Linked DNA regions of Notamacropus eugenii. The protein of the gene in region 3 purifies or fractionates together with the protein of the main gene of each other region. This does not show direct contact. Links are inferred from orthologs where the notes say so. Each region holds a gene or a part of one and is shown on either strand. Other genes may lie near its edges.

Region 1 (8,090 bases), on a different chromosome or scaffold from region 3:
TGGACTGACTGACTGGGGCAAGGGTGGGAAGCAGGGACAGCCTTCTGGAGGGGGTGGCAACCAGCTACGTAAGTCTTGACTATTGATCATTGCTTCCTTCACTTCACAGAACCAGCTTGGAAGCTCTTTGGGTCTGTGCACACCCCTTTAAGAGATGTATGCTGCCCTAATGATCACTGAATGCACCAATCTTGTTTCAGCTCCTCCGATAGCCAAGCCTGGCTCCTGCTGCGCAATAATGCCAGCCTGCTTCTCTACAGATCCATCCTGTTTAACCTTCTCGACTGATTTATTGTCCCAATTGAAGGATTTGCTGGTCCTTCTGCTGACACCTCCATGCATCCCAGGGCAATACAGAAATATTACTGTGAAGGCCTCCGAGGAGCTTTAAATAAAATTACTGTGGGAATTTTCTCTCCATACTCTGACTTAAAGGATGGCCTATGGTGCATTTAATCATTGGAATGTTTGTTTGGTTTTGTTTCACATCTTAAAGGCATCTGTATGGTATACCAGTCTTTCATTTGACAGAGAGGAAGGGAGGGAGAAAGGGAGAAGGAATGGGAGAGGGAGGGAGGGAAGGAGGGAGAGAGAGGGAAGGGGGGGAGAGAGAGAGAAAGAGAGAGAAGGAGGAGGAGGAAGAGGAGGAGGAGGAGGAGGAGGGACACAGAGCAGTTATGTGTGAAAACAACAGCCCAGGATCCAAGGCTGCTGCAGATACACAGACTGTAAGTTTTCTCCCACACTCTGGGCCTTCCTTTGTTTGCAAGGTGTTACATGAAAGCCAGTCTGCTCAGCAGGCCTTCTGATCTGCAGACCTGCCCCCCAGAGACATGGAGCAGGCCTTCTCTCCACAGGACCTGGCCAGTGTCTGGTTCCTGTCTTGGGTTCACGTTTTTATAGATGAAATGCAAGCAGGATTTTCCTCTCCAGGGAGGCCAGTCCTCTTCCAACTCTGGTTCCTCTTCTAACTCTGGTTCCTCTTCTGGAGGTGGGTCAGACTAGAGGAGCTGAAGGGCATCTCCAAGGTCTTGAGCACCAAGGCTCATCTACTCCTGGAATCCCCAGCAGTGAAAGGCAGCATGGGAGTTCGGGAAGAGAACTGGACTCCCAGTTGGGCTCGGGTCTGAGTTTTGCCTTCTACTCAGTGTGTAATCTTAAACAAGACACTACCTTAAGGGCATCCTCAGTTTCTTCATTAAGAAATGAAAGGGTGCAGGTGAGAAGATTTCTGAGGCCCCTTTGAGCTCTACTGTACTTGAATCTCTCCATCCCTGACCTGTTGAAGGTTGGGGGAAGGATAATCCTTCCATCTCCACAGACCCTCCTGGACATTCTCTGCTAGTGTAGATGCTGCTTCATTGGTTTACACAAGTGAAACCAAGAGCCCATGTCTACATGTTGGGGGAGAGCTGCAAGGAGTCTGGCATAGATCTGATGGAAAATGACTCCCTTGAATTTTCCCCACAGCAGGGTCTTCTGGCAGTATAGCTTCTACTCGGAGACTACACTCCCTTCATTTAAAATAGCAAACAGCAAAGGTGGAGGGCCATAGACCATGGCCTGATCATTGGGGCCACGTGGTGGGACAGGGGAGAAAGCCCCAGGGTCTTCCCCCTCACTGCATGGTCTTTCGCCATGAATGAAGGAGTCAGTGAAAGGCATGAAGGATGGGGAGCTGATTGAGGCCTATATGAAGACATCCCCAGTTGTGGCCTTACAGTCAAAAGGTTCCTCGCAACCAGTTACAGAATGCCCAGGTGTGCTCCCAGGTCTCAGCAGGCACCTGCCTTACAGGGAATCATAACTCTCTGGAAAATATGGGATCAGCCACGCTATCTGGTAAAATCTGTGCAAAGAAATTACCCAGCATCTACACTCATTGGGTGAGCGAGCTCAGTGTTGTTTTTTTTTTTAAATTTAAACTTTGTCAGAGACACTTTTATTCACTATATACGACAATCAATTAATTACAGGAGGAAATATAGGCTGACCCCATAGAATTTCCTCTGTCAACCAAGTGAGTTCCAATTACAAGAAATTCCCAGCTAGTATACATAGCATAAAATAAAGAAAAAAAAGGCTCCACCACGAGCTGCGGCTGATTAAAAGAAACAGCATGTTCCATACAGGGAGAGCTAGGGACTGAGTTCACAGTGCTCAGATAGGACTCAGTAGCATGTCACAACATGGTGCATCTCACTGATGAGGGGAACACTGGGGACAAAAATAACATAGAAAGGAAGATTTGATCAATGGTTTGGATTTAAGGGGTAGGGCAAGATACACTTCTCCAAATTCTGTTTGCCTCAATTCTCTCCTTAGGAACTCTCCACAGTCCTTATGTTTCCACATGTTAAAAGGACACAAGAGTCCCAAGAAGGCCTTTAAAGTGAGAGACTCCAAATAAAACTACAAAATTACAAAGAAAATGGTTACTTTTGGGTTTTTTTTGCTGTTGTCTTGGATGATGCTGGGGCTACCATAGGCACTAGAAGTAACAGATGCTGAGAGAGGTCATTGCACCATTGGTGCCAAGAGAAGTCAGCGGACTTCTCTACAATCACATAATACAACAAGAGGAAGTCTTGAATAGTGGAGAGAATGCTGCTGGATTTGAGGTTCAAATCTTAATCCTAACATTTGCTCTCTTGACCTCAAACAAGAAAGATGACACTAGGATTACTCATCTGGAGGCCCGGAAGGATGGGGAGCCCTTGAGAGCAATAGGGAACTTTGGAAGAGGCATAGTTACGGGAGTGGCGATGGAGTTCATATCATCTCTCCACATAGAGAACCCCATGTTCGAACAGGTTAGTTTTTACCTGCTGATATGGGATGGAAACTTAGGAGAGAAATTAGAGGAGGCAATACAGATGTGGGAGCCCAGTCCTCTTCAGAGAAGTGATAATTGGATCCATGGGCATTGATGAGCTATCGAAGCCAGAGAATATGGAGATGGAACCTTGGGGAACACTCACAGCCTGTGGGCATGCCTCGATAACAAGTCAGACCGGGTCAAAGACTATGGAGAGGTCCAGGAGGGCAAGAAGAGAAAAGGCTGGAGGATTTGACCTTAATTAAGAGATCACTGGTAATTGCAGAGAAAGTGATTTCAGGTGGCAGCCCAATTTCATGCGGATTAGCAGAGCCTGAGAGAAAGGAAGCCGGTGCTCCAGGTGGGTCTAACTTTTTCTTGAAGTTTAGACAACTTGAGAGGGTCCTAGAATTAAAGGAAAGGAGTTTTTTTTTCTCCCTATTCCTTTTTTTCTTTTCTGTTTTTTAAAATGGGAGAAGTATGAGCTTGTTTATAAGCAGCAGGGAGGATGTAGTGGACAGGAAGAGACTGAAAACTAGATGATGATCATAGGGACAACTGCTGGAGAAGATAGGAGAGGATGGATCAAGGATGTCTGGACAGGGCACCTGTTGTCATTTTGTCATCAGATTCCCCAGCCTGTAACACAATATCTGGTATACAGTAGGCACGTTCAGTTGGAAGGATCTTACAAACTGGATTCAAGCCTCTCATTCTACAAAGGAGAATTGCTTTGCCCAGGGTTACCTGGGGGCAGAGCTGATACTGGACCAGCATCTGGCTCTTGGCTTAGAGTACCAGGGTCTTTCTACTCTATCATCTTTTGGATTCTCAGTTCTGTGACATCCTTTCTGTTTCCTTTTTGACCTGGTGACCACTGGGACACTGGACCACTGGGAGCTCTGGACTTGGGGTCAGGAAGGCCTGAGTCTGAATCCCAGTTCAGACACTCACTTAACTTTTCTTAGCCTCAGTTTCCTCATCTCTAAAAAGGAATAATAATAGTGCCTACTCCTCAGGTTTGTCATGAGGATCCAGCGAGATAATAATTGTAAAACACTTAGCACAGTGCCTGGCCTGGAGTAAGTGCTATCTAAAGTTATTATTGCTATCATGAACCTCCCAGGATCGTTAGGAAGTTCAGATGAGATTGCATTTTAAAAACAGTTTGCAGATTTTAAAGTGTTCAGCTCAATGGCTCCCTATTTCCTCCAGGATCAGATACAAAGTGCTTCTGACATTCAAAGCCCTTGATAATCTACCCCACTTTTCCAGGCTTTTGGCACCTTCTGCCCCCTTCCCAGCATGCTCCATTGACGCTGGCCTCCTTGCAGCTGTCCATCTCTGGGCATTTTCTTGGGCTGTGCCCCAAGCTCTCCTCATCGTGTCTCCTGGCTTCCCGGAATCCTCCCGGAAGGCTCCTCCAATCCCTGGCAACGCCAGAGCCTTCCTTCTGGATTACGTCTTATCTATCCTGTCTGGGGCTTGTCTCGTGGTTCTACCCCATGGGATGGTGAGCTCCTGCGGGGCAGGGATCGGCTTTTACCTTCGCATCCACCCCCCAGTGCCCAGCCCGGGACCAGGCACATCAAAGGTGCCGAGTGAACGCTTCTCTAGGACTGAAATTAGAGTAATTATATTAATAAAAAATGCCCACGCTTGGAGGGCCGTGGAGTCTCTGTGAGTGAAGCACGGACAGGAGGCCAGCTCACACTCGCCCTCCGTTATCTGGGTTCTCTGGCCAGGGCGGGGGCCTGGTACCCCCTGCCCCTCCCACTGCGGGGAGCTTCCTCCCAGGGCCCAGCTGCAGCCGGCCCGACAGGATCGGCTTTCCGAGCTGGGCACCCCCGCTGCTCCTCCGCCTGGCTCTGCCCTCCGGGAGCAGGCTTGGCCCCCACAGATCGGCCTGGGAGAAGCCAGAGGATGGCTGGGGGCGGCCCGGGGCGGGTGGGCGGTGAGCGCGGGATGCGGCGAGCCGCCCACTGCCCTTCCCTCCCCCAAGGGATCCTCCCCCTTCGGGAGGCTCCCGAAGGACGCGGCGGCTCCCCCACCTCCGCCGAGCGCCCCCCTGCCGAGCGCCGCCCCCCTGCCGAGCGCCCCCGCGCCCAGCGGCCTCCCCCGCCCAGCAGCCCCAGCCGCAGCCTGGGCCGCTCCGGGCACCGAGCGGGCGCGGAGAGGGCTGGGAGCGGGGCGGGCCCGGGCTGGCGGGCGGGCAGGGAGGGGCCGCCCTGGCCATGGCCTTGGGCTTGGCAGCGGCTCCCTGCTAGGGGGAGGGGGAGGGGGAGGGGAAGGTTCGGGACCGGCGCTGCAGCCCGGTGACAGATGGCCGAAGGGAGCTGTCAGGACAGCCGCCTCGCTGGCCCCGGGTCCCAGCGGAGGGAGCCTGGCGACAGCCTGGAAACCCAGCCCAGTGGCTGGAGGGGGGCCCCCTTCGGAGCCACGGATGGCAATGCAGGTAATGTGCCAGGCCCCAGAGCCCCTTCACTCTGGTGGGGGGTGTGGAGGGGGTGGGGGTGGCCCCGGCTCTGAATCTAGGGGGAAGCTCACGTCTGGCACGCGCCCCAGCTTCACGGCCTGCCCCTCGGACACCCCAATGCGCTTCCCAGGCTGAACTCGGGGAGGGGGAGGAGCCCTCAGCCTCGGAAGGACCTGCCACCTGTCTGGGCCTGGAGGATGCCACCCTGGGCCCAAGGGCAGCAAGAGTCCACTGAGGGCCCCAGGCCTCCAGCAGTGAGCGCTGGGCCCTTCCTTTCGGGGCTCCGCAGGCTAGCAGGGTGAGGCTAGAGGTGCCAAGCAGAGAATGTGCCTTGCCAGGCTCAGAGCACTAGAAATGGCAGCTATTGTAGCTGTCACTGGTCAGGCTCGGACCAGTCAAATTCTGAGACAGGTCTGATTTAGGGAAATTAATGCAGTCAGGAGACTGGAGGTGAAAGCCAGGTCTGCCTGACATTTCCTGGGTGTACCACAGTGGGCCTGGCCAGTCAGGGCATCTCTGAGCCTTGGTATTCCCCTCTGCACAATGGGGTTGTGTAAAAGGCTTCATAGATACTTAGTGAGCAGATATGCTCCTTCCCACACAGGGCTGAAGCTTCTTGAGGCAGGGGCTATTTCATTTGTGCTTTTGTATCCCCAGTGTCCCCCTAAGGACTGGGAACTAGCCAGGAGACTGGGGGATTGGGGAGGGAGGCTGGACCTAGAGCTGAGTTCAGATTCTACCTCTGCCTCTACTAGTTGTATGACCCTGGACCTCTGTCAACCGCAGTTTCTTTTTCTGGCTATTAATAGACCCTTCTTCCCAAGGGTTGCTGGGAGGATAAACATACTTATTGATCAGTTGATTGGGAATCATGATTCTTCCTCTGCCTCTTTAGAAGAGTTGTTGGATGCATTCTTTAAGCACTGCAGACAAGGGGAGCAATGGAGAAATGCAGTGAATTTTAGGGGCAGGAGAGAGTGAGTATTCTTGTCATGGAAAACTCACTTTTATTGGGAGGATGGGGGGTGGGGTTGGAGGATGGTCAGAAGACCTGGGCTCTAGCCCTGGCTCTGTCATCAGCTGTCTTCATGACCTTGTGAAGGTCACTTCTCTTCTCTGGTCCTCAGTTTCCCCATCTGAGCTGGCCCCTTCCCCCTTTGTCATTCCAGGTATAATATTTCTGGAGGGTCATCTTCAGTTATTCATCTCTGTGTTCCAGACAAGTGGAAGGAGCGAGAGGTTAGCAGTTGAAGGAACTAGGTGACCTTGGGGCCACTGATTTCCCTTTCTATCTCTTGAAATTGAGGAAGTGAGACTAGATGATCAATAGTCTTAGATACCTTCCAGTTTGTCATTTATTATGATTCTGTGGTCCTTGCTGGATATTTTCTCTGAGCCTCAGTTTTCTCAACTGTGAAATGGGAGGATCTGCCTAGATCAGAATTCCTAGAATAACCTTTCTGTCATATCATAGATCTCTTTGGCAGTCTGAGCAGTCCTATAGATCCTTTCCAAGCATCATGTTTTTAAATGCAAAAAATAACACATACAGAATTACAAAAGAAACCAATTCTATCGGAATATAATTACAAAAAAATGTTCCTGGATACCAGTTTAAGAATCCCTGGATACATCACTAGCATCTCTTCCTATTCTTAATCTATAATCCTATTTAATGAATTTATATTTTTAAAGAAAAGAAGAAATCAGCGTAGTTGATGTATACGTTGAAAAAGGATGCAAGTATGTGAAACGTGGCTCACTCATGGGCTTCCTGCTCGTGCAGAGGGGATGGGGTGGGAGTATATTCTAGGATCTCTTCTCTGGAGCCCTGAATGCTTTTTGTAATTTTGTAACTTTCACTTCTGAGTTTTTGTTCTTTCTGTTTACATCATGGAGTCACTGTATCTTTTGTTCCTTTGGCTCTCCTGACTTCACTTTGCATCAGTGCATGTAAGTCTTTTCATGCTTCTTTCAGTTCATCACAATTCCCATTTCTTACAGGACAGTAATATTTCATGGCATTCATGAATCACAATTTTCTTAGCCTTTGTTTTCTTTGTGGTGTATTGGTAGATTTAATGTTTTTTTTCTTTCAGTTTTATTTAGTTCAAGTCATGTCAGAGTTTTAGTTTGTATTCTGATCAGGTCCTTTTGAGCAGAGGTTTTTTTGGGGGGGGGGGAAATAAATATTAGGTTAGGGATGATGGGTGTTCCTGTGATTACACCTCTTAGGTGAGGAAACTCCTGTTGGCATCTTCTCCACCATTTGAAGTCTTAAAGAATTCCCCCTACCATGGAGAGTGTACACTTGTCAAGGGTCGTGCAGCTAGTATGTGATAGAGTCAAGACTCAAGCTCTCCTAGCTTCTAGCCTAGTTCTCTGGCCATGAGGCTTTGCCACCTCCCACTGAATTGTAAAATTCAATTCAGAAATCGTTATTAGATAGCAGCTATATGTCAGGTTTTGTGTTATGTGCTGGGGTAACCACAATAATAATTTAAAAAGCAAAACAGAACAAAAACATTCCTGGCTTTCAGGAAGTTTACATGATGGAGAAAAGGAACAGCATGTTTGAAGTTAAATAGACACAAAATGGATCCCATTGGGATTCCTGGCTGACCATGGGGTAGGGGTGGGAGAACAGGGAGAGGCAGAATCCTGTAGGAAGGATCAGTTGAGCTGAACCTTGAATTCCAAGAAGTAGAGGTGACTAGGGAGAGCCTTCCAGATGGTGGGAGATGGCATGGAAGACCTGGGGAAGTGACCTTAGAAGTCATTCAGTTAGATCCTTTG
Region 2 (8,050 bases), on a different chromosome or scaffold from region 3:
CTTAAGCCTGAATTCCTGGACATCATCCAAGCCAAAAACTGAGCCCTTCATGTGGCCCTGCGACTCCTTTACATGCAGAGCTGGGACAAGACTGCACAAGAATGGCTTACCCCTCCCCCTCCCATGTGATTGTGATGCTGATTCCCCTCCCCCCATGGTCCAATTCAAGCTACATCTTCCTCCACCGTGTAGATTGTGTGCCCCAGTTCTCAGCTTCTCAGCCCTTCCTCCAATGGACCAGGCCTTTCCCTATTTACTGTAAATTTGAGGGAAGCACTTCATGTTTGTGATTTCTTATTGATTGGGTGGAAAATGGAAAGGGTGTGATTTGGTGCTCTCTGTCTCTCTGAGGGGTGGGTGACTGACAACCTTTTCTTCTACTTCCTTTCTACTTCAGACCCCAGTCATTGAGGGGTGGGAAACAGGTGATAACAAGGACGAATGCCAGCTTTGTGCCACCGCCTTCCTCTGAGTAAGCCCCAGAGATGAAGGAGTGTAGGGGAAAGAAACAGGAGAGACTATGACAGCATCCAGTGATGTCTTCTCTTTGACTGTCAAGCAAACCCTAGTTAGAAAGTACAACACAACTGTAACAATACTCATTATCATTTAAAGAAAAACAGGCCTTCAACTTCGGCTGAGGCTATTGTCAAGTCTGTAGTGGGTGGGGTCACTGGTAGAGCAGGTAGCGTTTCATGGCAAGGGGCAAGGGCAGGGCAGAAACCTCACCCAGCCGGGCTTCCCCCAAAATGTCACGAATGCACACTCGACTCAGGTGAAGAAGGGAGTGAGGTTCCGCTGTGGGGAGACAAGAGAAATTTAATTACTTCCAGAGTATCGAATTGGAGGTCATTCCTGGCCTCACCCCCACCATCCATCCTTGGGCCTTTCTGCTACCCAGCCTTGTAGGGTGGAAGGGACTGGTGTTTTGGGGGGTGGGGACATAGTGTTGTCTGAGCCGTGCTAGACATGATTTTCAGAGCTTACAAACCTATGCCACCACACAGGTATGAGGACAGCAGGGCAGACTCCTTGATGGGAGTTGAGAGACTTATGCAACTAACTGCCACAACTGCCTTTCTTCAAAAAAGAGGAAATAAGTTCCTAAGTACCAGAAGCCTCTGCGCCCTCTTCCCTCCAAGCCAGAGCTTTCCTGGGAAGGTGGGCTAGTACAATCTTTAACCCTGGGTCAGAGCCTTTGACTCAACCCCATCAGACCAAATTCCTCCCCTCCACCTAGGTCCCAAACCTTTTGTTTTTTCCCTTCGGGCCTTCATATTGTGCCCACAGTTTTTATTGACAGTTTTAGGGGACCCAAATGGAAAAAAGGCGAGCTTGAGTGGTTTTAGATCACAGACCCCTACCCTTGTGACAGACTACCTTCAAACAGAACAAACCAAAGGGAAGCTTCGGATGACTTTGTCCCTTCTCTCCAGTTTGTCCTCTGAGCCTCTCGAATAATCACCCCGTGTCTTGGAAATGCAAGCGACCCCATCCAGTCCAGCACCCCACTCTCACCTCTCCTTTCACCCAGGTAGCGGATTCGAACCTGGCACTGCCCCCATACAGCACTGACAGCAGGGTACAGGGTTCTTCCTTTAAGGCCCCGGAAGGCAGGCCCCAAGTAGGTACCTCCAATGGCATAACCCAGAGTTCCTTCCTCCATATCCAAAACCACCAGCAATCTCTCGGGCACTTCCAGACGCTCATCCCTGAGCCCCGTGGGGTATCTGGGAGCCCCGTTTCCCTCGCTTTGGTGATACAGCTTACCCCGCCCAATGTCCCAGCCCCACGATTCCCCATTACTGCCCAGTAATGCTGCATAACAGTCCGCCTGCAGTGGCGCTAAGGCTGTGGCCACCCCCACCACGGCATGGGTGCCCCTCTGCTCTGGGGGCCAGGCGATCTCCCAGGCGTGCAGGCCCCTCGAGTAGCCTCTCTTGCCCCGGGCTCCATCGGTGCTCTGAGCCACAGGTCTTCGCTCAAAGCTCAGTCCCTCTTCCCTGACCTCGATGTTCTCCGAGCAGTCCTTGGGGTTCCAGCCGTGATGCTGCTGCACACTCAGGTCTACGGGGGGTGCCGACAGCAGCTCCTCCAGTCCCTCCGGGAAAGACAGATCTGGGTACGAGGTGGTTGGGGATGGGGTGCCGCCGGTCCCACTGCCGCCCGCCAGGGCAGTCTGGCCCATGGGAGGGGGGCTTGGAGAATCCCCCCAATGCAGGCCTGGAGAGGGGCCGGGTGGTTAGAAGGTAGGGAGGGCGCTTCTCCACCCACCGCCGCTAGTGACCCGGGAGGGAAGAACGCTGGAATACAGAAAGCGCGAGTGACTAATCCATGCTGCCCCGGGCATCTCCCCCACGTCTTCACCACCCAGCCGCCGGCACCCCGAGGTGTCCTCCTTAATGCTGCCTTGCCCTCCCAGACTCCGCGGTCCCCCCCACCCCGTCCTGTCCGTCCACGGCCAGTTCTCTATCTGCCTCCCAAAGCGTCCCGATCTCGATCCCCACCCCAGGCCTCCTCCCTACACAGCGGACTCCTTGCCCTGGAGAGAGTCCGAAGACGTGAGTTCGAATCCCCGACCCTGCTGCTTATTACCTGTAACCCTGGGGCCAGTCACTTCCCTTTGGGCCTCAGTTTCCTCATCTGTAAAATGAGAGGTCTCAGCTAGATAATCTCTAAGGTCCCGGCCGGCCCCAAAGCCAAGGACCCCACGGTCCCTTCCGGACAGCCCCAGTTTCCTCTCAGCTTCCGCCTCCTACGCCGGACCCCGCCTCCCACCCCCCCCCGTCTCCGCCCTGCTCCCCCTAACTCCGCCCCAGACCGCGGACTGGAGCATGAAAAAAGGGGGCACGGGTTGGGGGGAGCGAGCACGCTTCCCTCTTAGGATCGGGGTCTGGAGGAAAGCACCCTCCGATGGGCGGGGGGAGAACCCGAGGGTCCGAGAGCTGAATTTGGGGAGGCGGCCGGGCCCCCTGACTGCACAGTCGGGGCTTTCTCCGGCTCCGCCCCGGCCTTGGTGTCTCCGCACTCGGAGCTCACCTTTCACAGGCCGGCGCTGCCTTAGGAACCGGGGGGCGGGGGGCGGAGAGGGCAGGGCTGGCAGCGCCCCCGCCGGGCGCTCGGGGAGTGAACGTCAGCAGCGCCCGGCTGAAAGGTGCCTGCCCCCTCCAGCTGGGCGGGACGAGGGGGGGGCTGGTGGCCGTACTTTGTGCGCGTGCGCAGACCGACGTCGGACCCCCTTCTGGACTCAGAAGAATGAATGAATGGCACTTCCTGCTCCGCCTTACAATTCCCGCGGTTCCGTCCCTTGAGGGGGCGGGGCGCCCGGAGCCCGGCGAGCTCGGTGCGTGCCCCGCCTGGGCCCAGGAATGGTAGCGAGGGAGGGCAGGGCGCGCCTCGGCACCCTCTGCCGGCCACCGTGGGACGCTGCACCCTCGGCCCTCCTCTGCGACGGCGCCCCGCTGACCCAGCCCTGGCCTGCCCAGGACAGCGGCCGGCTCTTGCGGGCAGGCTCCCCGCCGCCCTCACCGTGGCCCTGGTAGGGAGGGGATGCGGGCAGGCTCCCTAAGTGATGGGCTGCTCTGGGTGTCCAGTTCTTCCCTCCGGGGGGTCCTAATCCCCTGAAGCAAGAGGGCAGCCTGCTTGCCGGGATCATCGATTCAGAACGGGGAGGGACTTCAAAGGCCATCTAGTGAGGGAGTAAGTGAGAAAACAAGCATTTATTAAGCGCCTGCTGTCTACCAGGCTCTGTGATAAGTGCTGGTGAAACCAAGGCAAAAGAAAATGAAAAGCGGCTCACAGTCTAATCGGGGAGACATCATGGAAACAACTATACACAAATAAGAGATATGTAGTTTAAATAAGGGATCGTCTCAGAGAGAAGGCACTAAGATTTTAGAGACCTGGGAATGGCCTTTTGCAGAAGATGCGACTTTAGCGGATCCAGGAGGCAGAGAGGAGGAGAGAGGGTATTCCAGGTCTGGGAAATAACCAAAGGAAATAGTCAGGAGTCGGATTGTCCCGTGCAGGAGTGGCAAGGAGACAAGTCTCACCTGAAGGCAGAGGAGGTGGAGAAAAGCAAGGTGTGAGAAGACGGGAAAGGTAGAAAGGAGTGAGTTATGAAGGGTTTTCAAAGCCAAGCAGTGGTATATGAATGTAATGGAATACTATTGTGCAATAAGAAATGATGAGCAGGTAGATTTCAGAAAATCCTGGAGAGACCTGTACAAACTGATACAAAGTGAAATGAGCAGAAGCAGATACACAGTATCAGCAACATTGTGTCATGATCAACTGTGACTGACTCAGTTCTCAGCAACACAACCCTCCAAGACCAGTGCAAAGAACTTGGGAAGGAAAATGCTATCCATATCCAGAAAAAGAACTGATGGACTCAGAATGCCAATCAAAGCATATTTTTTCCACTTTATTCTTTCTCATGGTTTTATTTCCTTTTGTTATGTTTCTTCTGCAACTGACCAATATGGAAATATGTTTTACATGATAGCACACTTATAAACTATATCAAACTGACTACCATTTTCAGATCAGGGAAAGGGAGGGAGGGAGAAAATTTTGAACTCAAAATCTTGTAAAAATGAATGATAAAAAATTATTGATATGTCATTGGGGAAAAATACTACTTAAATTTAAAAAAATAAAAGATTCCAGCAATGTTGGACCAAGATTTTTAAAAAAGCCAAGCAGGATTTTATATGTGATCCTGGAGGTGACAGGGAGTCATGAATTTGTTGGGAGACCCAACAAGAAGGCTGGTCCAGGCATGAGGTGATGAGAACCTTGTTCAGGATAGTAGTGTCAGGGGAGAGAAGGGAACTTATGCAGAGATGTAACAAAGATAGAAAAGACAGGACTTGACAAAAGATTGGATATAGGGGGTGAATGTAAGTGAATAGTGGAAGATGATTCCCAGGTTAGAAAAGGTGTAGAAGAACCACAGAGGTGAGGCCATCCCACTACTTCATTTTAAACAAAGACCTCGGAAGGCTATATAGTGTCTCATTGGCAACGTCAAAAGCTGAATTTGAACCCCATGTCATCTTCCAGGGACCCTAGGTGTCATCTTCCTGAGTTCAAATGTGGCCTCAGACACTTACTAACTGTGTGATCCTGTTTGCCCCAGTTCCTCATCTGTGAAATGAGCTGGAGAAGGAAATGGTAAACAAGTCCAGTATCTTTGCCAAGAAAACCTCAAATGGGGTTAGGAAGAGTTGAGCATGACTGAACAACAACAACAACAACAACATCTTATTGCAGAGCTGGAACTCCTTCTACTTTACCCTGTTGTTAATGATAATTTTCGGAATAACAGAGCACTTACTATGTGTTAGGCTTTGTGCTAAGCCCTTTACAATTATCATCTCATTTGAGCCTCATAACAACCCTGGGAGGTAGGCGTTATTGTATCCCTGTTTTACAGATGAGGAAACTGAGGCAAACAGGTTAAGTGATTTGCTCAATATCTCTCAATAGCAATCGTCTGAAACCAGTTAAGAATTCAGGTTGAGGGAGTTAGTGTAGACCAAGAAGACAGACTTCTCAGTAGAGGTTCCGATGGCTGGTAGGACACTTGGAAGGGCCTGGCAGCAGATGTCTTGGTTCTATTACCAGTATCTGCTTGTCACCATGTTTCATATGCTGGAACCTTGGGAGAGGACTGTCTTCAATTCCATGTTGATTTCCATTGTTGGAATGGCCTTATACACTGGATACATCTTTATGCCTCAACATATCTTGGCAATATGACACTACTTTGAAATTGTACATTGAACACAATGTGCTCAAGAAGTAACAGACCACAGATCCGTTGAAGGGAAGAAGCCATCTCCCTTGGTGAAATGAGACTTCAGAAAATTCCAGACATATGTTGTGAATATGAAGACTAAATTTCAAGGAAGTATTAGGACAAGGAAATAATCCAAACTCAAGCAATCCTGATTGAAACGTTCCCTCATATAATAGTTTTATCTACTTTGATATTGTAGTGGTTTGTACTCTAAATATCAGTATTTTCTTAGCCTTTGGAACTGTTTTACTATTGGTCTGTGAAAGCTTTTCATAATGTAACATTGAGAAAATTTTGATTGCTTTATATTGTTTATAATCTGAGATCATTAGGCCTCTTGCTTCAGCAGTTGTCTGGCACAGATATCTACCTAGGATATATTTAAAGCATTGACCAAAATTTTGTAGAAATAATAACAAGATGAAGAGGGAATACTTCAGTTGAGTATAAGAGACTTCTTTCTAAATTTATACTCGGGAGTAGTTTCAGCTGTCTAGACTCCTCATTATAAAACATTTATTTTGCTTTAGTGTTATTAAAAAAACAAAGTATTTCTCCCCTTAATAGCGAAAGAGCAAAGAAGATTCTTCTACAGTTAGAATAAAGGAATACCTAACCTTTTAATAGTTAGCCTTATTTTATGGATTTCACATGGACAAAAAGTTCTATGATAGAAAGCTTTAGAGAAGTAATCTACTTACTTAGCAGCATTATTATGGAATGCTGACCTCAGATGGTAGTTTTATTAAGTAAATAGTGAAAGATTTCCTCAAAGGTTATCACTAACATTTGGAGTCCTGTGAAATTGGATTTCAAGACTGTAGCTGGTGCTGAAAATTTTAAAAAGCATATTATTGTTCACAGTGAATAATTAATAAAACTATAATCCAAGGAGCTTTACAAACTTGTTAAAATAGCATTTAACACTTTGTGATGTGTGTACATTGGGGTGTGTTGTAAAAATTTGTTTCCAAACTAGAATTTTTCTGTGGTGAAGGCTGATTATCAAAATTGAAAATCAACTGATGGGAAACCTTCTTTGTTTAAGAGTCATGCTGTTCTTGATTTTAATCTCATGTTGGGTATTTTTTTCCATTCTAAATTTATTGCTGCTGAAGATTAATCATTCTTAACTGGTTAGTTTTCAGTTTCTCCCCACATTGTAGAACTGACAAACTTTAAAAAGTAATTTAATCATCAACAGGCATTTATTAAACAACTTTTAGGTGTCAAGCACTTGGCTGCATGCAAAGACAAAAAGAAAGACAATTTCATAGAATTTGAGATATGATCCAACTCTTTATTTTATAAATGAAGAAAGGGTTAAATGATTTTTCCAAGATCACACTGATGAGGTTCAGACTCTGGGAACCTCCTTGAATTCTCCTCGAATCTTCTGGAAGCCCATGTGCCCTGGTTCCTGTTGCACTCCCCACCCTTGATCCTATCAAAATCCCATTCCCCAGGCTGCTGACCACTCCCATCAAGATCCTCTCGATCTGTATTCACCCCAGAGGACTGGTCATTCCCATCAAGACCTCTGGATTGTCCCACCTGCTCCCCACTCAAATCTTCCATTGACTGATATCTCCTGATTGCCTCTAGCTGTTTCCAACCCTTGACCAGTCACCCCAATCCCATTGAGGTCCTCCTTGGACTTCTCCTCAAGACCCTCCCTAAACCCCTCCTCCCATCACCCTAGACTACCAGACCACCTCCATATCCCTCCTACAGTCTTTTCTATGTCTAAGTTCCATCTTGCCTCCATGAAGGCGCTCAGACTCTGTCTAGCTGAGATTCTATCAGTCCAACTTGTTAATACAAGCATTACAAATGCTTAGGCTCCCTAAGAGTCAACCCAATATGGTGAATCTTTAATAAACTTTGTGGTTTTTTTTGACTTAAAAAAAAAGAATTCAGGTCTTCCTGATTCCAGACTAATAGCTCTTTCCACTTCACCACTTAGCTACTCTGTTGCTTTCTAGAATTAGGTAGTCTTGAGTGAGTCACTGGGCCTCAGTTTTATCATCCGTAAAATAAATTAGACTAAGTAATCTTTAAGGAACTTTTTAGTTATAATTATAATAATGGTGTGGGCTGGACATACACTTGATGAATGTTCCCATAGGAAGAGCTACCTATCCCAGGCTCATTTCCTAGTTTTGTGCAAAGTACAGAAAAGCAGACTGTCACTTTACTAATTATTAATTAATTCATTAGCCAGTAAGGGACTTTATTATATAA
Region 3 (7,686 bases):
AAAATAGTAGCGAACAGCTTTTAATGCTGAAGGTAGAAAACATTTTCCTGAAAAACAAATATACTATAATTCACATTTATTTTCCTTCTCAATGCTTTTAATAGTTGTTCTATAAAGAGATATAACATTCTACAGATTTTTTTTCCTCAAGATATACTTTGCTGAATAAGGCCACAACTATCCTTTTGTAGAGAAAAGTACATTTAAAACACTAGGCCTATTCTAGGTAGACAAGAAATCCTGGCCTCATGACACTGAAGAAAGATGAAACAAATTAACTCCCCATCTCCTCAGGTCACCTCTGACTCTGCATGAAGAAACTAGGAACCAGGGGGTAAAGTGATGGACGTGTCTAAGGTCATACAACTGGTGTTCTAACCCAGTCTGATACTCTCTTTACTAGGCCACACCTAAAACTCTTGGTACATCTGAAAGCCTATGGCACCTCTTAGATGCCCTCTCACATTCCTCCCCTTTCCTCCTGACTGTAGCACATACATACCACCTCTAGTATTCTCAGTCATGTCCCCCAATACATCATTACTTTGTACAGAAATCCTAAAAGGAACCTTAGGAGCACTCCCCTGCTGGTTCATCCATGTACTCCGCTGGCACAGATAGCATGCCTCTTCTCTCTTTCCTGAATTCCTCTCTTGGTAACTGTGCCACCTTCCTAAATAGCAGGAGTAAAGATTCCAGTGGAGACAGTCAAACCTCTGAGCAAGGATATCACAAGAAATCACTGATAACTGGAATAAATCCCAAAATTTCAGCAATGATGGCCCAGTCTACTCAATGCACATTTTATTCAAATGAGTAATGCACTGTATAGGATACAAAACTTGAACAAAAACTTTCTTCATAAATGCCACCATATCTGGACTTTGTTCCCAAAGACTTGGCTTATATTCGATATCAAAACTCTGAACGAGATCTAATATAAAATCCTACTTTTATCTTTTTAACCATAAAATCTGCCTGAATTTTCATGATGCTCATATCTAACTTAAGTAGGGTATTATTTACTTCTTTATACTTAATGTATTATTAACTGTCAGTCACTTAGTTTGTAGTAATTAGGATCATTAATTAGTAATTTAGGACAGAAGTGGTTTGTTTAAAAAAAAAATGAATCTCTCACTATTATTATTGACTGAATACTCACTGGACTTTAGCAGTCCATAAATAAAAGTCTGTATGTAATATACATTCCAAAATACTTGTAGACTAAGAAAACCTAACTGCTCTAAATCTGTATCAACGTGGTAATTGTGGAATAAGTGTTATAACTAAGATGGTAGAATTACAGCCATTTGAATTCTTATATGCATGCATTGGATACTTCAAGCATGTTTGTTATATAATATCAACTGCCACTATAGGTTTCCACATTTCTATTTAATGTTTGAAGTAATTAATTTGGTAAAAAGAGAAAATTACTTTCTGAATATTAACCCTTCAGAATGCAGGATAGAAGCCGAAAATGTTTTTACTTTCAACAAAATGTAACATTTTAGAGGTCTATTTTCACTTTAAGGATGAACACAATGAATGACACCATGAAAACAAACCTTTAACCTACAAACTGAAATGTTCCTTTTTAAAAAATCAGAACTTCTACTCCTTTACAGTAAGTTTTTTCACAGCTTTACATAAGAAAAATAATACTAGAAATCTTTTAAATAAAATAAATCAAGGTTTTTTTCCCTCTCAACAAAATAACACTACCCAAATTTTAAAATGAGATCGTATTTCTCATGTCAGAGGAAAAATTAAATCATGTCCCTAGCATGAAAAGTAAGAATCAACATTAAGTTGTAACAAAATTCTACAGAAAAAAGATAAAAAACTTAAAATATATATATTTGAATCACTATAAATACTATAAAGTATCCTCAAAATGAAAGGATAAAAGATACAGGATGCTTAAGATAATCCAATATGCTTAAAAATCTCATCCCTTAATTAGAAAATCTTGTCTACAATTTACTTCCCCTCTAATGACTCTAAAACTCATATTTTAGTTCCCAAGTACAGAAGGTTTTATTTTTTAACATGAACCTCTCTTTGCCTCCATTCTTTCTCGTAATTTGTATTTAAACAGCACTCTTCCTAGGAGGGTTGGGAGTAAACGACTTCACCTGCCTGGGCCTCGGGTCTATAAAAAGCAAACGCACGTCCCAACTCGTATCAATCATAGCTTATCGATCACACACGGCACATGATTCCTTTACTCTAAGTGTGATCAAACTCGTCTCGGTGCAGCACGCCGTCCCTGCGGACCGGTCCCCCCACGGCCGGACCAGGCGGGCAGGGGCGCCTCGGGATGGCCGGGCCGGCACCCCCGAGCCCGCGGGTCTGACAGGCGCGGCCGCCGGGGGCGGGGGGCGCTCAGCAGTTTCCCCCACGCGCGGCCCCGTCGGCCACACCCGGCCCAGTCTCACGCCGGCCTGCGGGCCTTCGACAGGAAAGCGCGTCGCTCCCCCACCCCCTCCGTCGGTAGAAGGCCCGGGTGGGCGGGCCTGCGCTCACACGTGCGTGCGTTCGCGCGCTTGCTTGCTTCCTCAGAGGCCCACGGAAGACGTCGGCCCCCCACGGGGGCCGGGGGAGGAGCGCGCGTGCGTGGCCGCGTGGGGGAGGGAGACGCCCCGGAGGCCTCGCGGCAGCCCCGGGCTCGCGTGGCAGCGCTTACCCATCACCTGGACCCGGCAGATGGCGCACGTGTCGCACTCCACGTCCCAGCTCCACATGGCCACAGCGTTCCACTTCTTGAGGGAGAACATCTTGTCGCCTGCGGCCTTGGAGCCCGAGCTGCCCAAGTGCGAGGCCGGCGCGCCAGGCTCCTCTCCGTCCTCCACGTCGGCCATGGCGGCGCGGGCGGGCCCGGCCGGCCGGCGTGGGAGAGGCTTGGGGCGAGCGCGGCGGGGAGCTATGGCGGCGGGGCCAAGCCTCCTCGGGAGAGGCTGCAGCTCCCTCCAGAGGCGGCCGCAGGGAAGAGCCGGCCGACCGTTAGCTACCGAGCCCGCCGCCTACGCCCCCGCGGACGCCGACGTCGACCACGCCGCTGAGCACGCCGACGTCAGCCCCGCCGGCGCGGCGCCGCGGCCCAGGATTGGACGACTCTGCCTGCGCTTGGGTTACGTCACCGGGGCGGAGCTGAACGGGCCCCGCCCCGCCCCCTCCTGCCCTGCGCGTGTCTTCTTGCGCTCACCTTGCCGCGGGTGGTCCTGGGTTCTTGGTCGCCCCTCGAAAGCGCTGCCCTCGGCCGGGCACCGGCAGTCCGCAGCCCTGAGGCCTGATGTGGGCAGGGCCTGGGCCCGGTGCCGAGCTTAATTAAGCCCTGGCCTTCCGAGCCCCCAGTGCTTGAAGTCACTTCGTAAAAGAGGGCAAGGAATCAGCCGAGTAAGGCTCCCTACCCCTGTGCGAGAGCCGAGTTCAAACCCTGCCTCCCGTACTCACGAGCTCCGTGACCTTGGGCCAGGCGCGCCACCACTGGCTGCCTCCGTTTCCCCGTCTGTAAAATAGGAATCACAAAGGCCCTCTCAGCTTCCGGGGCTGCTGCGAGGATCACGTGGGATATTAGGAAAGCACCTGGTACGATGCAGGCACGTATGGGTGATCAATACACTGATTTCCTTCCTCTGCCTAAACTTCTCCACGGTAAGACCTCCCCGAGCCGTCGGGAGGATCCGTTGGAGAATATTTACGTAAATGAAATTAGCAGGTCCTTAACCCGTGCGGCCTCAGCTTCCTCCTCTGCGCGGTGGGGAGGTGCTATCTGCCCAAGTGGAAGGACCCAGCGAGACGAGACGCGTGAAGGGCCGCATAAATACCGGCTGTCCTTCTCGTCTCCTCCCGACTCTCCTGGTGACCTCTTGCCGTCTCCCTGGCAGCCCTCAGCCCGTTAGGGTTTTCTTAAGTCAGCAGTGGGCACAGGGGAGGGAGGGGGAAGGAACATTCCTCACAAAGCTGTATGTGAGTATCAATATCATTTATACGGAATTATTGGGTACCTGTAAGTGCTGGATAGCTGAGGTAGTGCGGAAGATGATCACAGTGGGATTACTTAGAGAATTTGGAGCCCAACCAGACTAAGCCTAAAAAGGTAGTTGCTTATTAATGAGCAGTCTGAAAAAGGAAAGGATAATAGATGGGTTGAAAGAAGGAGGAAAGCTCCTCCAGGCAGGAGTGGCATGTGGTACCACAGTTGGGAGATGGCAGAAATATTCCTGGAAACATTAAATTTGTCCAACTGAAGTGGAAACAGAAGTCTAGGAGGGCTTAGTTATACATTAAAAGTTAAGGGAAAGAAAGAATTTGAGGTATAGTAGTGCCAATTGACAACCATAGGGACTGATTATGATAGATTGAGTTTAAAGAGGGATTGGGAGAAAAGTATGAATTAGACTCATTCAGCATCAGGGGTTTGGGGAGGGATGGACAAAAAGTACAGAATTGGAGATCTTTTGAGAGGTCAGTGCTAAAAATATTGATTGGGAAATCATATTTGAACATGGCCATTATTTATGGTTGTATGTAAGACGAGTCAAATATTTACCAAGTACTCAAAGATGAGCACAGCCCTCACTACATTTGGAACTCATTCATGCAACCACTATTTGTGGGCAGTAAGTATATTCATAGCACACTGGGAGGCACTAAGGGAAATTTTAAAAAAATTAATGTGGCACAGGGACCTCATGGATAAGAAGGATATTGTGCATAATGGCAGCCTCCCTGTATTTGCTTCCATGTCTGAGGTTAAGGAGATGCTGAGTAACTTGTTTATACAGTGTCTTGATCAGATGATGAGGGCAAAGATCCCTCCCATCTACTTTTTGTCCTCCTGACTGGCATTAGTGTGATCTTGTGAGATTTTGCAATCCATGTGGCCCCCTAGAAGCAAGCAATTGGTGTCTGACAGAATGTAGAACCAGTCATGGGTCAAAGGCATGTCAAAGCAGGGGGCTAGCCCAGGATAACAGAGAATGGAGGAGCAATGAGGAACAAAGCTATGATGTGAACCAGCAAACCAAGACTTGTCCTTCACAGGTGCTGTGAGTCATATGAACTGTGCAGGAATGGCGGAAAAGGAGCTTACCCAAATAAGAGTAGAAGGGTTTATTGAATATGCAATACATTATCTTCCCAGTTAAAGATGTTCAGGCTCTGAAACTTAAACCAATGTGCCATCGACCCTTAAATGCAACAGAACGCTCTGTAAGGCTTAGGACATCTTATGGCTACCTACGCACTGATAAGATACTGATACTAGAAATCATTCTTTAACCTCAGTGCTTGTCATTTACTTATTTTTAGTTTTCAACATTCACTTTTATAAAATTCTGATTCTGAATTTCCCCTCCTTCCTAAGACAGCATGCAATTTGATATAGGCTGTATATATACATATATGTATATATACTATATACAATACATACTACCTACACATATGTATACATATACAATATACATTGTATATACATATGTATATACTATATTATACACACATATACAATCATATTAAACACATTTCCACTTTGGTTATGTTGTGAAAGAAGAATCAGATAGAAAGGGAAAAACCATGAGAAATTAAAAGAGAGAGAGAAAGAGAAAATAGTATGCTTCGATCTGATTTCAGACTCCATAGTTCTTTCTCTGGATGTGGATGGTATTTTCCATCATGAACCTCAAAGCTTTTAATCATCTCTAATAAACACCTTGTCACACTTTCCACAGGGGATTTTGCAAACCTCCTTTCGCATCTGGACCCAAAATTTACCCCACTTTTCTCAGCAAATGACCTCACTTTCTATTGTACTGAGAAGAATGTGATCTTCTACTGGGAATTCTATTTACCCCCATCTTTCATATTTTAATACCTCACTATGTCTACCCCTCTTTTACAGAGGATGAAGTATCATAACCCCTTGCTTTTCCTCTTTATATTTTCTCCCTTGGTGAGAGGATCCATTGTCATGATTTCAGGTATCACAGCTATGGGGATGATTCCTAAATCTGTATAACCATTCCTGATTTTTTTTTTTTGAATGATGGTCCAGTATTTCTACCTAGATGTCCTGATATTACCTCAAACTCAGTATGTCCAAACTGAATTTATCATCATCTCTCTAAAACTGGCTCCACTCTATTTGTACTGCTTACTACCCATGGGACCTTAGCCAAAGCTTTCCATTTCCCTAGGTTTCAGTTTCCTCATCTGTAAACTGAGGGCGTTGGAGCAGATAAGCCTTAAAACCTAATCCATCTCTAAATCGTAGGATTAGTCCAGCTTTCCTACTCCTGTTAGTAGCACCGTAGCCTTCCAGTCTCACCCAAGCACAAAACCTGTCATCTTTGACTCTGCCCTAGCCTTCAACCACTTTCCCTACATCCCATCAATTTATAAAACCTGTGCACAAGGTTATTTCTTAACCAAATGTCTACTAGTTGGTTATGTTGTATCTTAGTTGGCTATGTTGTTGCATTGGTCAGGAGGAAGGTATTTGTATTTCTGTACTATGGTGATTTTCCTGTTGTGTTTCTATTAAGAAAAGTACTTTCATCCCTTCAAAAACTCCTTTCACAAGACTTTCCAAGAAAGTAAATATGACCATTTTTGCTCTTTTTCTTCACTTGTCTGTCTTCATTCTTACTCTTTCCTTTTCCATCATCTCTATAAAAAATATTTTTTTATGGGTGAAAAAAGTGTTCTGAAATTTCTTTTCTTTGGAAGACTGGTGGAATTCTCTCTCTCTTTTAAATAAATATTTAAATAATTTTGTTAAATGAATCTAAAATAAATGAATCTCAGCAAAATTGTAACTTTAGGGAGCACAGGGTCAGTTGATATGGGCTGTAAAACCCTCAGGGTGCTTCTCTGCTGCCCCCATAAGAACTGCCAGTAAGATCTGCCCTTTGATCCAAGACTCTATTATCTTCAGCTTATTGACCTACTGGCACCTGAACTCTAATTTAGCTTAAATCTTTCTTCCTGGCAGTTCCTGTTTGATAAACAGACTCTGCTTGAGAACAGTTGATCCCTGGTTGTTTTGACCTGTGACTCTGTGTACAGATCTTTTTGTCTCTGCTTCTTTGCATCTGTTGATAAGTCCCCCTTCTCCCCTTCCTCTCACCCCATTCTCCCTCCCAGGCTCACCACCACCCTAGGCCCATCCCCAGCCAAATGGTTCCTTCCTCTTCTAACTGATCCAGCTTAGTGGGGTATGATGGGTATCCACCAAAACTCAGTTCTTAGCTTTGGTCTTTTTGTCTTTATAATCAGATAATCTTAGATTTAGACCTAGGAAGGGACATTAGAGCTCATCTAGTTCAGTCCCCTCATTTTACAGATGAAGAAACTGAGGTACGGTGAGGTTAAATGACTCGCCTAAAATCGCACTCGGACTAAATCACTTCATCTTTCTGGATCTCAGTTTCCTTATCTGTAAAACAAGCTAGGAGTCTGCAGGCTTCATTATGAACACACTAACCCCATTTCCCTTTTTGACTAGATGACTGTGCCAGTGGATGAGGTGATGTGGATATAGTTTGCCTAGCAAAACTTTGAATAAAGTATCTCATTATAAACACTTTTGTTTGCATTTTGATAACCCTCCACAATCTGATTCAAGCCTACCTTTACTGATGATACATTACTGTTGTTCATGCACTCTTTAGTCTAGCC
Region 4 (7,874 bases), on a different chromosome or scaffold from region 3:
TGTGAACAGATGCAGCTGGCTGAATGGGGACCCAGCTAGCTGGGTAACTCAATTCCTCTTCTCCTGTCTGCCTCCCCGCCCCCTTCCTTCTCCTCTCCAAAGGATGGTAAAGTTGGATGGCCAAAAGATGCCCAGTTGACTTGAGTTTTACTGGCCCCTTTCCTTCCCTTCCTTTTCTCCTGTTCTGTCCTATCCTGTCCTCTCCCAAAACCTTAAACCTACTGCACTCTCAAAGTGGGAAGCCAATGGGCCCCTGCCTAAGGGCTCCTCTTGACCCTCCTAGCTTTAGAGTGATTATCAATAGTAATTGTTGCTGTTTCCCACCCAGCCTGATGTCTTTCTTTTTCCTGACCTCATCAAAGGGGCCATGCCCTGGCTACTTCTTAAACAGGCCTATTCAATGAATGAGTGTTGCCTCACCCTAAGTGAGTACCTGCAAACACCTTGGCTTAAAGGGCCCAAGGTCTCCCAGTGTATCCTGGGTCATCTCCAGTCATCCTGATGAATATCTGGTCACTGGATTCAGATGGCTCTGGAGGAGAAGTGAGGCTGGTGACCTGCACAGCCCTCCCTCACTCAAAACAAAGTCAAGTGCAAGTCATGTCATCATTTCTCTGAGGGCATGGTCTTCTTTGGCAATGAAGGACGAACACAAAACCTAAGCCAAACTGGGACCAATTGAAAATCTTAGCTTGAAAAGACCAAATGCATCCTGGGCCGTGTCCAGTTGTCCTGATCTGTATCTGGCTACTGCACCCACATGGCTCCAGAGGAGAAAGTGGGGCTGATCACTTTGCACAGCCCTCCCTCACTTTAACTCAATTCACTTGCTTGTCATGGCCTCACTTCTCTAATGTCAGGGTCCTTCTGGAGAACAAAGAACAAACAGCAGTAGTTGTGTCCAATTCTTTGTAACCCCATTTGGTGTTTTTTTGGCAAAGATACTGGAGTGGTTGCTGTTTTGTTCTCCAGTTCATTTTACAGATGAGGAAACTGAGGCAGACAGGGTTAAATGATTTGCACAGGGTTATGCAACTAGTAAGTGTCTGAGGCCTAGCACTCCAAATACTATGCCACCTAGCTGCCCCACTGCACCACCTGGCAGGCATTTAAATACATAGTTGTTAAATAATACAGAAAATTATGTTTTGATGATCTGTACTTTTAAATTCTGGACCAATGGTATGATCTGTGGTTACATTAAAGAAGACACTCTGATTGTTTTGAAAACCATTTTAACTTCAATTTAATGAGCAGGAGAAGGAGTATGTAGTAGCAAGGTACTACACAGAATCAGAAAAACTGGGTATCAACAACTAGCCCAGTGACCCTGGGCAAGTCACTTACCTTTTCTGGGTCTCAGTAATCTCACTTGTGATATAAATGGTTTGTAGTAGATTCATTTCCCAAGTACTCCATTCCAGTAGTAAAACAATCAGTTTTACTATCAATGTAGTTTTCTAAAATGGAATTTTTCATTTTGAAATACTCTGCCTGTGGAAATTAATAGTATAACATAAAAAAAATTACTAAGGATATTGAGAAACTATGGGCCACTAAAAAGTACAAACTTTACAAATTTATTAATTCAACAGACTTTATATTAAAGGCTAGGTATAAAAGGAAACAAAAAGTGTAAGAACACACACACATTCAAATACAGCCTCAGATTACCTGTAACCTTGTGCAAGTCACTTAATCTTGTTTGCCTCAGTTTCCTCATCTGTAAAATGAGCTGGAGAAGAAAATGGCAAACCACTCCAGCGTCTTTGCCAGGAAAACCCCAAATGGAGTCATGAAGAGTTGGCCACAATTCATAGGTAGTAAGGGTCTCCAGGTTTCCTTCTGTATGACATTTTGTTAACTACATCAAGCCTGGGCAGGCTTCACAGCCTCTTAAGTGATATTTATTATCAAGAGTTTGGCCTACTGATCTACAAGGGGTGGGGGTGGGGGGAACAAGTAGATGAAGAATGCCTATTGTGCAGCAGGCTATAATTCAGCTACATAGATAAATCATCAGTACCTATATCTTGAACAGCCACCTTGAATAGCAGTGATTTAATTGTAGAACTTCCTGGGAAGAGGAGAGTAGGCTGTAGTGATTTTGGAAAATCAGACAATATTTTTGAGTTTCTCTCTGTTTTTACCCTAACATTTTCTTACAGCAGAGTGTAGCATTCCGCCGTATTTAAGGCATCCTCAAACAAACACACAAACACACACACACACACACACACACACACACACACACACACAGGATTGTCAAGCCTTTGATGATGGAGGTCCTTTCATATCTACAATCCCAGAGTAATCATTTTTTACATACTTATTTGAATACTTTCAAAATCTATTTCAAGTGGGCACACTGCAGCAATGCAGATCACAAAATGGCTTTGCTCAGAGATGGTTCAATGGACGGCTGAAGCCAAAAATAAACAAACTTAATTTTCTTTCCAATCATTTGGTGAAGGTATTCTAAACTTAGTTACCTAGGTTGGACCCTGGAGAACAGACCGAAAGGGTCCATACCTATACTCACGGTGTTTTCAGCTTAGCAAAATCTTCTGTGGCCTGCACTTTGCAGGTATAACATTTGAGGACTAAGGATTACCTCTCCAGAAACAATGAAGCAGTACAGTGGGAATTCAATGGGTGTCTTGTACAATGCTGTTCAGTAGTTTTTCAGGCCCCATTTGGTGTTTTCTTGGCAAAGATATTGTTGTGGTTTGCCATTTTCTTCTCTAGTTCATCTCACAGATGAGGAAACTGAGGCAAACAGGGTTAAGTGACTTACCCAGGGTCACACAGCTACTAAGGGTCTGAGGCTAGATTTGGACTCAGGAAGATGAGTCTTCCTGACTCCAAGTCCAACACTCTATAGGCTACCTATTGTACATAATTGGTGCTTATAAATCTTCGTTAAATTGAAGGCTTTCAGGATATGTAGGCTGAGGAAAGATTAGACTCTCACCAGTCTTAACAATTATACATTCCCAAATGTCTAGCCACCCTGTTCTAAAAAGTTGAAGTTTCAATTTGTCATGAACTAGCAAGAAATGGAGACAGGTCAATTTCACAGAATTTATGAAATGAAACTAAGCTCTTTTAGAGCAGGAACTATTTTTTGCCTTTACTTGGATCCCCAATGCTTAGCACAGTGCCTGGCACAGAGTAGGTTATTAATACATGCTACTTCACTGAAATATTGAACTACTTCCAGTTTAATTAAGCTTTTTCTAAAAACAGGAATGTTACACTTGAATTTCTATGTCTGGTCTCCCAAGACATGTCTTGTTAGGATCTGTGTATAGGCCCTGTCTGCAGTCTTAGGCTCAATCCCAAGCCTGAGAGCCTGAAACAAGTTATCCAATCCAACTCTCATTCTACAGAAAACAATGACCAGTGGTCTGGCAAAGTTGGGGAGAAGAAAAGGGAAGTTCCCACTATTCCTTATACGTGACGGTACTGTTTAAATGATACTGCATCGTGGAATACATTATAAACTATTTAGAAGGAAGTAAAGTTTCATTACTTTGGACTTTACAAATCTGCGATCATCTGGTCTGTGCTCAGAGCTCGTAGAGACTTCACACCCCATGAAGGCTTACTTTTTCAAACTTTCTCCATTTGAAAAAATCCACCAAGCAAAAAATAACATCAACACGACAGCAATTTGGTAACATCTTTAGAAGCTAAATACAGTGGTTACGTGAATTAAACATAACACTTATTCCCGAAAATTGGATGAGTATTATTCATTCCTTAAGCAAAGTGGGTTTTTAAAAATACAGTGGTCCATTAATTAGTCCAACTTCCCTTGCGATTATAAAGCAGCAAAATCTGCACTTTAATAACAGACCATGGGCTTAGACTGACCAGGACACTTAGCATTCACACACAAAACACTTTCCCCACAAAAAGACAGCGAAGCGCGCGTACAAGTGTCCCTTATTTTACAAACGTCTAGTCCACGCGTCTGCTAAGGGTCACGACTTTTGAGGCATATTTAAGCAGTATTTAAGAAACATTAGCAGAACGGTGCCGCCAATGCGCCCCAGAGAACTCACACTTCCGGTCCTCTCAACTTCTCGAAGCGCACGTGCAGAGCTCCGGGCTGCGAAGTCCCAGCGGCCCCCGCGGCACAGGGAAGGACGGGGGCTCAGCCGGAAAGCGGAGCCTGGCGGAGGAGCCGGGGGGAGCGGCGGGCTCCCAGACCTCACCTGTCTCCACCCTCGGCTTCCCGGGCCTACTGCCCGCTTCCTCCCTCCCCGAGTCGGCCCTTTCCCCTTCAGTCAGTCTCACAAACTCCTTGGAGAAGATTCCCCCACTCGCCCGCGTCCTCCCCTCCTTCCATCACGTCACCGTTTTTATCAGCCCAGGAGTCCCGAGGAAGCAGCCCCGCCTTCACGCTCAGGATCCAAGTGGACCATGGCTCCCAGGGACACTACTCTGTCCCTACCTCCCGGGCACCGTAGTTCCAAGAGATTCGTATGCCCTCCTAGTCTCCGCCCACCGCATGCGCAGAGACCCCTCCCTCGCGCGGTGGTCGCTTAGCAACTTCCCCGAGTCCTCTCGCTAGGGGCGGAGTCTGGAAGGGAGTGGAGAAGCGGTGAGGGGAGCGGGGAGTGGAGCCAATCGGAGACGAGTCCTGGCGCAGAACGGCACGCCTCTTCCAACTGTCGCGAACGCGCATGTGGCTTTACGGCAGAGGAGGGGGGGTGGGGGAGCGGGGAGAAGGCGGAGAGAAGAAACCAACCAACCAACCAAGCCACCCCCACCCCCACCCACCTCAGACCTGGTTTACGGCTCCGGGCTCAGTCCCCTGTGAGGCAGCTGATTGGTTGGTGGGGGGTTGGTCCCTTCCCTGTGACCCCAAAGTGCTGAAGGGGGGCGGGGGTGGCCCTGTGCAAAGTGCACCCAGAAAGCCCCCCGCCTTGAGCCCCCCGGCCGGCCCCCTCCAGCCCGCGGCCCCCTCACACCCTGCAGGAGCTGATTTCTTCCTGCCCAGAGACCTTCCCGGTCCCCCCACAACTGCGGCGCTCCTGCCCCCGACATCGGCAGCCGCTGCCCCGGGCACCCTAACTGGCTCTCCCCCCCACCCCCTGCCCTGAGGTCCCCCCAGATCAGGCTGCCTCCCCCGCTCCGCGGTCCGGGCGCTCGCCGGCCGAGGCGAGGCGCTGAGGAGAGCCGGGCGCCCGAGCGGTCCGGCCCTGAGGCGATCTCTTTTCATGGAGAAGTTGGTGGCCGCGGTGGCGGCGGGGAGGAGGAGCAGAAGCCGCTGAGGCTGGAGAGGTAGGAAAGTCAGTTAGGTCCCGGGGGCGGCGGCGGGGAGCCGGGTCACCTGCGCCCGCTCCCCCCGGCTCGGACCCGGCTGACTGCTGCCCGCCGGGGCTCTGCCTGCTTGGCTTTTCCAGGTTCCCCGGAGACCCGAAAACGGGAGGACTGCCGAACCGGCGCCGAAAGCGGGCTCCGCTGCCAGTGCCCAGGTGAGCCTCCTGCCCTCCCCCGCCCCCTCCCGCCGGAGCCGGGGCTTTATTTAGGGGAGCGCCCCGGTCCGCGCTGCCCGGCCGGCCAGGCAGAAGCCCCGCCTGCTTCCTAACCTCGCACTCCTAACTTCCTGGCCCCGGGGCTGGGGGCTGGGTGCCATCCTCGCCTAGACTCCCCCTGCCCGGCTTGGCCGCTGGGAGACCTTCGGGGACGTTTTTATTTGTTTGCTCCTCCCGCAGGGACTTCACAAGTCACTGGCTTTGCTGGTCAGTTTTTCAGGAAACTGTGATTTATAGGCATTTTCTCCTTGACTTTCCTCATCTTTCCAGTGGTCAGCCTATGAAATTTGGAGGACGCTGATAAGCCGTTTGAACGTGGATGTAGATAATCTGAGTCCTAGAAAATGTATCGATTAATCTTTGTACTTTGAATTATTTGCAGAATTTAATTTGTCATCACAGTATGTAGAGAAGTCACGATTTTCACTTTTTTTTGATAACTTCAAATTTGAGGTGTAGATAATGGACTTTTACAAACCAAGCCAAACACAATGCATTTCAGGATTTCACCAAGAATGGTTAACATCTCACAATATCTTGACAACAGGGGATTATTGTGTTTGTTTGTTTGTTTTAAAGAGAGGGGGGTTCACGTTGAGGTTGGTTTTATCTTAGGCCGCGGTCTGTAGGACTTTATTTTGGCAGTCTTCACGGTTGGCCTGCTTTTTAAATGTAAAAATCTTGCAGAAAATGTTCGGCTACTATTTTAAAAGCTGGTAAAGATGTTAAAAAATCCTCCATTTGGGGGTTATGTTATTGAAAGTGATTGAGAGGTAAATTCAGGCATTTATACAGCCCATACACTGGGAGACAGAAACAGGAAAATTGGCTAGGGAAAATTTTATGTAGGAGTTGGCCAAACGAACAATATGTTTCTGACATACAATGACATTTAAGGATGTAAAATGACTTCTAATTACTTCTTTCATAATCTTTTTAATATTTCAAATTATTTGGGATGTTTCCTTTTCAGTTACAGTTACAAAGCATCACTTAATTGCAAAGGGAGTTGGTAGGAAGTCTTTACTTCACCTCACTACCCTGTGGCCTTGTGCCTTCCTTGTGGAAAACAAAAATTGTGTCATTAATGGACCTTTCCACTGTCATTCTGAGATAATTCCCCTTCCGATGTGTTGCATTTATAACTACTGTGAACCTTAATGGGAATTGACTATCAGAGGGAGAATGTACTGTGCTGAATACATTTTACAGTTACTATGTACTAGTTAAAGTAGATAATATTGGTGAAAGTTTAATGTCCCTTTTGTCTACTCACAGGCTTTTGCTTGTATTTTTGTGGAGGGAGGTGGAAAGAGACATAAATATGTATAGAATCAAAGACAGAGACCTTTATTTGCTACATTTCAATAAAACTAGGCAGTACAGTCAAGTTGGAGGATAAGTTTCCACATTTAAATATAAAAATTTCAACTGCGGATAGTACATATGTTAGGATTTTTTCCCCTAAACTCTTTAGTTTTTGATATCAAAATGAAGTTCTCTGTTATGCAAGTTTTCTCACTTAAGCATGTTTCAAGCTTAAATTTAATAGAACATATTTCCTTCTGAAGGTTCTTTTTTATATTCCTTTGCTAAAGTACTACTAAAGCCTTATTAGAGTATGCAAACAATCCTGGTTTCTGAAAGGGGGTGATGTGAGTGAAGTAAAGCTCTGGAAGGAGCTATCAAGGTGGAAGGACATGTAATTCAAAGACAGTCCTAGTTAAATTTGGAGAGGTTCGTCACCAGAAGGTTGACAACCAGGTGATAAACTCATTTGCCCACAGCAGCATATGAAGACCACATATGTTGTGGAAGGGTTGTGATCTGTATTGGGAGGAATACCCACACCAGTGAAATTGGGTCATTTGACATAATGAAGATTTTGTTTTAAAATGATAGTCTGTAACTAAAGTGCAAATTTAAGGTAAGGAAGGTTTGCCTCCATACCCCACAACTTGGCCAGTCCATCATCGTTTTTGTTGTTTGTGTTATACCTTTTTAATTTTATTTCATTGATTTTTAAAATTTGTTTTATGTCTTTAATGAGTTGTTTTGCTGATATAAGTTCTATCCATCTTTTGTGTCTCTGAGAGTGTAATTGAGAATTGGAGTTGTGTCAGACACTATTTTAACCAGTTTGCTGAAATGTTCTTTATTGTTCATGTCTTAATCCTGCTAGGATTTTTTTAGTTCATTAATTGTATTGAAAACTACATTTAAAATTATTTTGAAAAATGCATTTTGAAAGAAGTATCTTAATTTTCCTGGTAACCATAAGGTGGTTACAATTTTGTAGAGAGTATTTGCCATACTCATATTAAC

Evidence for each region.
Region 1: the proteins of RNF7 (region 3) and ASB1 purify together in Homo sapiens (co-immunoprecipitation; 3 studies listed by BioGRID and IntAct, with this or other methods). This does not show direct contact. The link is inferred for Notamacropus eugenii from reciprocal best matches to the Homo sapiens genes RNF7 and ASB1.
Region 2: the proteins of RNF7 (region 3) and SPSB2 purify together in Homo sapiens (co-immunoprecipitation; 3 studies listed by BioGRID and IntAct, with this or other methods). This does not show direct contact. The link is inferred for Notamacropus eugenii from reciprocal best matches to the Homo sapiens genes RNF7 and SPSB2.
Region 4: the proteins of RNF7 (region 3) and ASB7 purify together in Homo sapiens (co-immunoprecipitation; 4 studies listed by BioGRID and IntAct, with this or other methods). This does not show direct contact. The link is inferred for Notamacropus eugenii from reciprocal best matches to the Homo sapiens genes RNF7 and ASB7.

Annotation. Positions count from the first base shown.
Region 1 is NC_092873.1:66,137,342-66,145,431, forward strand, and holds the start of ASB1 (ankyrin repeat and SOCS box protein 1), read left to right. Parts: upstream 1-5,075; 5' UTR 5,076-5,140; coding exon 5,141-5,273; intron 5,274-8,090. UniProt on the Homo sapiens protein: Probable substrate-recognition component of a SCF-like ECS (Elongin-Cullin-SOCS-box protein) E3 ligase complex which mediates the ubiquitination and subsequent proteasomal degradation of target proteins.
Region 2 is NC_092874.1:195,224,208-195,232,257, forward strand, and holds SPSB2 (SPRY domain-containing SOCS box protein 2), read right to left. Parts: upstream 3,105-8,050; 5' UTR 3,040-3,104; intron 2,770-3,039; exon of another isoform or gene 2,644-2,769; 5' UTR 2,596-2,643; intron 2,304-2,595; exon of another isoform or gene 2,224-2,303; 5' UTR 2,189-2,223; coding exon 1,519-2,188; intron 799-1,518; coding exon 671-798; 3' UTR 530-670; downstream 1-529. Other genes in the region: TPI1 (triosephosphate isomerase), read left to right, coding at 1-42. UniProt on the Homo sapiens protein: Substrate recognition component of a SCF-like ECS (Elongin BC-CUL2/5-SOCS-box protein) E3 ubiquitin-protein ligase complex which mediates the ubiquitination and subsequent proteasomal degradation of target proteins.
Region 3 is NC_092877.1:330,008,247-330,015,932, reverse strand, and holds the start of RNF7 (RING-box protein 2), read right to left. Parts: upstream 3,120-7,686; 5' UTR 2,868-3,119; coding exon 2,693-2,867; intron 1-2,692. UniProt on the Homo sapiens protein: Catalytic component of multiple cullin-5-RING E3 ubiquitin-protein ligase complexes (ECS complexes), which mediate the ubiquitination and subsequent proteasomal degradation of target proteins.
Region 4 is NC_092872.1:154,030,092-154,037,965, reverse strand, and holds the start of ASB7 (ankyrin repeat and SOCS box protein 7), read left to right. Parts: upstream 1-4,726; 5' UTR 4,727-5,295; intron 5,296-5,417; 5' UTR 5,418-5,489; intron 5,490-5,729; exon of another isoform or gene 5,730-7,874. UniProt on the Homo sapiens protein: Probable substrate-recognition component of a SCF-like ECS (Elongin-Cullin-SOCS-box protein) E3 ubiquitin-protein ligase complex which mediates the ubiquitination and subsequent proteasomal degradation of target proteins.